Cricetulus griseus: one gene and its partner. The protein of the gene in region 1 binds, or shares a complex with, the protein of each later gene. Links are inferred from orthologs where the notes say so. Each region holds a gene or a part of one and is shown on either strand. Other genes may lie near its edges.

Region 1 (3,815 bases):
TTCATGCTTCTATTTGCACCTGGTCATGGGTTCACTTACCAAAGAAAGGGCTAAGAGGTAAAATGAGGAAAAAACTTAGCAATTATTAGCAATTTACTTATTCATACAGAACTAGAAGAGAATTCTAAGCTTTGCACACACAAAAAAATCCAAAATGACTCAAGGACCAAATGCTACTCTGCTAATTTGATCAGACACACTGTATACATGGACTAATTTATCACCCTGTACCCCATCACCGTGGATAAGTAGGAACGTCAGTCATTTAAAAAGAAAGTGAAAGAACAAAATGCCAATCATCCTAACATTAACAATTGTGTGGGCAAACGGCAAAGCAGAAACAGACAGACAGACAGACAGACAGACAGACAGACAGACAGACAGTCAGACAGACACTAGGAAGAGAGCAGATACTTGCTCGGTAAGAATTGTGACATTCAAATCCTCCATGTAAGGCCTTGTGTTCAGCCTCACTGGCTCGCTTCTCTATGTGTTCCAGTGAGTACCAAGGGCCCTCAGTGTTTCATCTGCATTTCTAGGAGGAAGTAGAGACTGAGCAGTCCAGGCTAGAGGCTTGAACCAGAAAAGCTCCAGTTTTATCTGACAGTGGAAAATCTGCTTAATAAGTGGTAGGGATACAGAAGATACTATGCATCATGAGAAACTACATTTCAGAAAAATGTTCTGTGATCTACAGATATATTTACATACATATAGCATTTATGCAAACTCTAAATGATAAATAAGAGATCTTGCGGAAAAACATTACAGAGTGAAACACACCCCTGTGTGAACCATGATCATGCCAGAAAAAGATATAGTGACTTTCAAACTTTGTTAATCTTTTATTTTAAAGTACTTATTCAGAAAAAAAATACATATTCAGTCTTTAAAATTAAAAAGTATTTTACTGAAGAAACTTCTGGTTCTCTTTTAAAAGTTCATTCTCCAAGACCCTTGCTGACTTTCCCCCTTTCTAAGGTCTAGAGAGTGACTGATATTCTGGAAGTTGCTCAGTTGGGCATCTGGAGGCTGCCCAGGAAAAGAAAGAGGCCAGGCTGCTGGCCCCAGTGCTATGGAGACAACAGAGCCATGGGTGGAAAACAAACAAGCAGCATCTCCCCAGGTGGAACCTGGGCATGTGACTGTGTGTTGGTCCTGACTTCAACACTTCTTTAGTTACCTCCCTTAACATCCTGGAGGCCAGTCTTCTAGCAGCCACCTGTAATACATGCAACTCAAAGTCCTGCCTGACCAAGGAAATGTTACTGTTACCAACACTAACAGGTGGCACTAAGTGCTTTGCTTTGCTGACCTCATGGCTGTCCTGGAGGGCAAGGCTAGCGTTAAAGGGGGGGGGAGGGGGGCACTTACCAGATGCTTTGCCTTGGAGCGCTCCTCCTCACTGGATATCCTTTCCCGAAGGATAGCTCTGGTGAGCTGCTCATTGGCTGCAGCCCTCTCTCGTTCTAGGTCCCTGGCTTGCTTAAGGCTGAAAAGATAAGTAAAGGTAATAATATTTTAATTTTAATTATTTTAAGTACTATAATTATTTTAGATTATTTCATAATCAAGTTAGAAAATTACTTTGTTGGTTGACATTACTTTATGTTAAATTAAATAACTGAAAATATAAAGAAACATACAGTCATTATTCAAAAGCTGAAATCATCTTGGCCCATAGTCTACCAAAAACCATACACAGCCTCGACCCACACATTTAAAACAACAGAATTCCAAAATGAGAAGTTACTGATTCAGCTGACAAAGTGTCCAAGTTTAACAAAGTCCTCAGGTAAAACTGAAAACTTCTCACCAAAAAGTCCCATCCCTGGGACCTCCAGCAGACCTCAGTAAGTAAAGAGCTTGGAACACGGCAAGAGGACCCAAGCATCCTCTCCAGGAATCCCACACTTGGAATCCTGGAGCCCGCTGGCTGGCCAGCCTAGCCCACCAGTGAGTCCTAGGTCCCAGGAAGAGGACAGTCAAATACCAAGGTAGACAGTGCTCCTGAGAACCACAGCTGAGTTAGATCTCTACTCTCCGTGCACACGGGCACATGCACACAATCATCCAGCCATGTTTTTGACCCACTTATTTACTGAATATGAGTGAGTTAGGCCCCATGTTAAGCACAGAGGACACTGTAGTGGACAAGGTGTTGAGATTCCCTGGTTTCTTAACCCTATAGAGGCTAACTACCAACACATACAAGTCTCTCCACCCAGTGCATCACACCACCTTCCTACAATCAGGATATGCAAATATAGCACAGACTTAATGGCAGGCTCCACCTCCCTCAATGCCAGTTAACAGCTTACACTCCAAACTGGGTCTAGTGAAACAAGATAGCAGCAGCAGTGCCCAGATGCGCATACTACTAATCCTGTTAATGAAGCCTACAATTGCATTAAGGTGATCCATAGCTTTGTCACACAATTAGGTCCATATTAAGTTACAATCTACTAAAATCCCCTCGTATGTGATAAAGACAAATGACTTTGGCACTGGCTTTTGCCATAATACCTTGCACAGACAAGCACTCAGAAGCACTAAATGAAAGAACATTTCAGTGTAATCTCATGGACAAAGATTTCTGATTGCCTTTTCTCTTTTGAAAGAATAACCCTTCTAGACCATCATATCTCCAAAGATGTAAGCTATGCTTTAAAAGGAGGTGAAACTGTTATGTTGGTGACATTCTGAGTGAAGTTGTCTGAGTGTGAATGATGAGTGCTAAATTTTACTTGGTGCTAGTCTATCAAAAAGACCCTTGAAAAGAAGTAGAGAACATAAAATTCTTGTTAGTGTTTTAAACCCTCACACCTTCCTGATAGCATGGAGTTCTTAGAAGTAAATTATAAAACATAAAATTATCCTGTAAAATACATTCCAAACTTATGCCTTCCCCCTAGAGGGTAAACATGTATAGTTAGTCGTTCTTGAAGAAAGAACAACAGAAATACACTCATTCCATGAAGAAACCTAAGAGACTTTCTAAGCCATAAGTACAATGGCATGTAGGCAAAGCAAGGGTCTCTAAAAATATTTCATAAAAACCATACAACATGGCATCAGCCACACTGCCTCCTGGACCAGGTGCTCAGGGTGGGTCCACACAGCAGCAGGTGCAGCTGGGGGGCTGCAGGAGTGCAGATTCCTAGCAGCACCTCACATCTAGGCATCAGGAACCCACAGAAGAGGAACCAGCAAAATGCCTTTTAATGTGCCACCCCCAGGTGATTCTGATGCATGCTGGAGTTGGAAAGCCACAGCTCGATACTTAAATACATCCCGGAGAGATATCAAAGGGAAGCAACATAAAAATGGAGTGGTCCACATGAGAACACTGATAACGGCTAAGGTTATCCAACCAGATTGCAAAACTATGCATTTAAAGCACTTTAATGGGAATATTGCTACACATTTTTAAAAAGTTGCCGATTTTACATGGTGAGTGAAAACTGAAATAAAGTAACAGCACTGTTATCACTTAGGGATCACCTGCTACATAGCAGGCATTTCAGATGCGCAGACATACATGCATGTTCATTTATATTCAAAAATGATACAGATTCATGGACATGGACCACGAATCTATAGAATTACATTTTACCATTCTGTTGGTATAGCCAGTTTTAAAATATTTTAATCATGAGTATTTTTCTAGTTGAATTTAGTCATATATACCTTAAGTTTAATTACAAGTAGAGATATACGTGGTTTAACTCAGAGGATCATGTACCACTGGGAAGTGAAAGCAAGGAAGCAAACATACTAGCATGAAAGTCTTCAACATTTAAAGAAACAGACTA
Region 2 (4,413 bases), on another chromosome or scaffold:
AACGTACAGTTCTGTTGAGAAGGAAAGAGCTGCCCTTAACATTTGGGAGTTGGTCTGGCTGAACCTTACCGTTTTCCCTTCCCTGAAGGTTGCTAACACCTACAAGTTCTGCTTAAAAAGAAAAAACCTTAACCACAAGTCACTAAGCCAAAGGTTAAATACTATGACAAACTTAACATTTTTTTACTGAAATGCTCCAGTTTGCCCTAGATGGGCATTTTTGTTGCTTTTTCTCGCAGCAAACTAAAAAAACCCCACACACCTAATTTAAGGACAGGTGTGTTTCTAGGATAAGAGGACAGTGACCTTTTACCGAACAAATCTCCAGATCTTCAGGATGCCTATGTGGCTTCCATCTTCTGTTGAATTAGGACAAGAAATACAGGACGAAATACGAAATACACCGTCTCTACGGGACGCGCTAGCGTTTGCCCAAGCTAGCGCAGAGATTTCAAAGGCAGACTACCTTGAATTGGATCCTAGCTTTAGATTTTCCGCAGTTTTGGACACTAGGCAATGAGAACCATGCCCATCCACTTGTGTCGGAGCAATAAAATTACGCATTTAAACCAGTGTTAAAGCTTGCTTTTTTTCTGGCGAATAGTTAAATACTGTCATTTTACTTCTACAATTAATAAATGGGACAAATATTTGATTCTCAGATTTACGCTTTAGTACTTTTCTTAAAAAAAAGGACAGTTTTCGCGACTAAATGACGCGGTGCATTTACTATTACATAAAATTTAAGCAACATTCAGCATACGGTAAATTCTTTAAGGAAAAAACCTTTTGTGAGGTAAACCGAAGCCCCACGATCGATCGCGGCTTCTCCCTAAGAGGCTGGTGCGGCCACCCCAGGACCGTCGGGCGCCACCGCCTGGCTACCTCGGCTTACAGGATTCCCATCCGCACAGCTAGGCGCCCAGTGGTGGAGGCGAAGCCGGTTCTCCGCGCAGCAGGGTGCCAAGGAGCCTCCCCCTTCTTACCACAACTTGCCGCCCACACGGAGCTGCCGCCTTTTGCCGCCTAGCAACAGCCGGCGAGGAAACAGGGCCAACAAGAAGGCGGGGCTTGGGTTCATCAGGCTCCCGCGCGCGGGCCCCTCTCCGTTGCTAAGCAACGCAATGCGCCACCTAGCGGTTGCCTTGAGCTTTTGGCGGGTTGAGTTGGGCGGGGGAGCATCACCATCTCGTGCACCACAACCTGCTCGCGGTCAAGGGAATTAGGATCTAAGCCGGCCACCGTAGTCGCTTTTCTCAGTGGGCGGGGCCAAGGGAGGGGTGACCCTGCCGGAGCCACGGCTGCCAGCGACATGTTCAAGGTGAGAGCTTGGAGCCGGGTCACAGTTGTCATCGCCCCCTCTCAGATGCCGGGGTCCCTTCCCACACTCCCGTGGGCCTTCTTTGAGGATCAGACTCGGGTGTCCCCAAGGCTTTGCCCACCTCCGGGCTGGCTAAGTCCTGTCACAGCGATTCATTCACTGCTTGGTACCAGCACCTGTGAGACTGAGGCATGGAACCCTAGATGGGTGGGATCGGCCCTCGAGTAGTTCTCAGGGGAATGAAACACTTTGAAAACTTAAGACGCAGCTATAGTACCCATTTCCTCGGCTAATGCCCTTTTGGGGTAGTAGGTAGGATGAGGCCAGGTCCCGGCACTGCAGCGTTCGTGGCTTTGGTTGCTTGGCAGGATCAGGTTTCCGAACCGCACTTGTGGGTGGGGGGAGGGTCAGCTTCGGAGGATGTCGGGGAGGTTGGTGAGGGAGAGGCTGCTTTGAGGAAAGCTGGAACTTCCTCTCTGGTGAGCGTTAGTGTGGAAAAGTCGACTCTTATCCTTATCCCCTCCCTTACGGGTTTTTTCATTTGAACTCCTGTCCTCCGTAAGATAGACATTTACAGTGAAGACTTCGAAAAACCTAAATTTTATCATAAAGTTATTCTTTCTTTTTTTATTTTTTTTTTCGAGACAGGGTTTCTCTGTGGCTTTGGAGGTTGTCCTGGAACTAGCTCTTGTAGACCAGGCTGGTTCTCGAACTCACAGAGATCCGCCTGCCTCTGCCTCCCGAGTGCTGGGATTAAAGGCATGCGCCACCAACGCCCGGCCAAAGTTATTCTTTCTTAAAAGTCAGTTATATTTTGTCATTCAAAAAATTACAGGCTGCACATGCCTTTAACCCCAGCACTTAGGAGGTGGAGGCAGGTGAGTTCGGGCCAGCCTGGTTTACATAGCGATTTCCAGGCCTACATAAAGAGACCCTTTCCAAAACAAAACAAAACAAACCCCCCAAAACCCCACACGCATCCAGAAATCTATAAAATCAACTCTCCAAGAAACATAATATTTACAGAATAGTGCTAATAAAATCTCAAAATTCTGCTACCCATTTAAGAGTTTCCTGCAGCTGCAGTGTTTGGGGTGCATTAATAACGGCTGCCAAATCAGATCATGGTTTCTGCCTTCCATTGCTGCCGGTTTCTAGCTATGTGATAATGGGCATGTCACTTAACTGCTCTGTGACTTTTTTTCTATTGGTGAAATTAGGGTAACAAAAATCTCAATTGTAAAATACTGAGGAGAATTATCTCACTAAACCCAGAGGAAGGATGGACACTGAACTCATTGATTTGTTGGCTCATTGTCATCAAAGACCTGGCTCTTCTGGGTTTACTATGGTATTGTTGGTTTTCCTTACAGTTACAAGATGAGTGGCAGTAACATTACTTTGCCATTCACTAGGAGAAGAGGAGAGGATAAAACTCCCATGCTTGGATTATGTTTTTCCTTCAGGTCTGATTGAACCAACGTGGGTCAGGTGTCTGTTCCTAGCCCAATAGCAGTTATCAGGGGAATATTGGGCTCTGATTAGCTTCAGTCAAACAGATTCACTTTGCTTACCATATGGAAAAGGAATGGTTTCATGAGCACAGTGGGGTTCTTTAGGAAGGAAGAGGTATAATGGAAACTGAATCTGCAACCAGCAATGCTCATGTCAGGTATATTCATATAAGTCTGTGAACATGTTCATTGACTTGGACTCTTTGAAAAATCTTTCACAATCTTCATACATGTAAGTTTATTGATAGAAATGAAAGATTAGCACAGATTGATGACTCAGACAAGTTTTTTTTTTAACGGGGGGGGGGGGGAGAAAGAGAGAAGGAAAAGGATGTGATTGTAGAACAGTGGTTCTCAACTGACTGATACCACCCCTTTGGGTATGTTTTGGAAATTGCAGGGGGGTTCTTTGTGTCTTTAGATGTGTTAAACATTTTCTTTTTTTTCCGGGACAGGGTTTCTCTGTGGCTTTGAAGGCTGTCCTGGAACTAGCTCTTGTAGACCAGGCTGGTCTCGAACTTACAGAGATCTGCCTACCTCTGCCTCCCGAGTGCTGGGATTAAAGGCATGCGCCACCAACGCCCGGCTGAACATTTTTTTTTAGTTTTAATTCTTCTGTGTATTAGTGTTTTGCCTGCATGTATGTCTGGTGTCCACAGAGGCCAGAAGAGGGCATATAATCCCTTGGAACTGGAGTTACAGATGGTTGTCAGATGTCCTTTGGGTTCTGGGAATGGAACCTGGGTCCACTTCTCTCAGTGCTGGGCCCCCATCTGGTACAGACCCATGCAGGCCCTGTGCAAGATGCTACAGTCTCTGTGAGTTCATATGTGTGTCCGTTATGCTGTGTTTAGAAAGCCTTGTTTCCTTGGTGTCCTTTGTCCTCTTTGGCTGTAACAATATTTCCTCCTCCTCTTCCACAGGGTTCCCTGAGCCCTGAGGGGAGGGATTTGAGGGAGATGTCCCATTTAAGACTGAGTGTTCCAAGGTCTGTCACTCTCTGAATATTGTCCCATTTTATGGTGTATGTGCTTGGCTGAGGAGCCAATGGGGCAAAGCTACCATCTGTGGGATTATGACTGACCGCTTCTAAGTCAGAATCCTGACTGCTGGAATGATATGGCAGCGCCAAAGGAGCCTCGGTTGGTCCCAGATAGCCGGCTCCCCATCCCTGCTGGGAGCTGGACCAGGGACTGGTGCGGAGAGCCATTTGTCCTGGGAAATGGGGTATGACTGGAAAGGGGGCCACCCTCTCGCCCATCAAGCTGAACGCACGTTCGTGTGTTCTCATCTGTTGTAGGAGGAATCATCTGTGATGTTGGTTGGTTACACCCACAACTTTTTTTTTACACCCACAACTTTTGTGCCACTATTGCAACTGCATATCTTGCAGGCAGGTCACCATTGTAAATCACAGGGTTTGTAGCTGGGTTGGTGTTTACTTTTCTCCTCTGGTATTATACAAAGTGTAAAAACCATATAAAACACATACGAAACCATATGTGTCAGTGAATGAATAATTTTATTGTGATACCAGGTATTAGCAATTGAGAGCCACAGTCCCTCAAATTGTAATGT

The links.
Region 2: Chchd3 (region 1) and Apoo share a complex: the UniProt entries of both Homo sapiens proteins name them as parts of the mitochondrial contact site and cristae organizing system (MICOS) complex. The link is inferred for Cricetulus griseus from reciprocal best matches to the Homo sapiens genes CHCHD3 and APOO.

The regions. Positions count from the first base shown.
Region 1 is NW_023276806.1:194,963,522-194,967,336, reverse strand, and holds part of Chchd3 (MICOS complex subunit MIC19), read right to left. Parts: intron 1,493-3,815; coding exon 1,375-1,492; intron 1-1,374. UniProt on the Homo sapiens protein: Component of the MICOS complex, a large protein complex of the mitochondrial inner membrane that plays crucial roles in the maintenance of crista junctions, inner membrane architecture, and formation of contact sites to the outer membrane.
Region 2 is NC_048604.1:75,617,723-75,622,135, reverse strand, and holds the start of Apoo (MICOS complex subunit MIC26), read left to right. Parts: upstream 1-1,327; 5' UTR 1,328-1,366; coding exon 1,367-1,510; intron 1,511-4,413. UniProt on the Homo sapiens protein: Component of the MICOS complex, a large protein complex of the mitochondrial inner membrane that plays crucial roles in the maintenance of crista junctions, inner membrane architecture, and formation of contact sites to the outer membrane.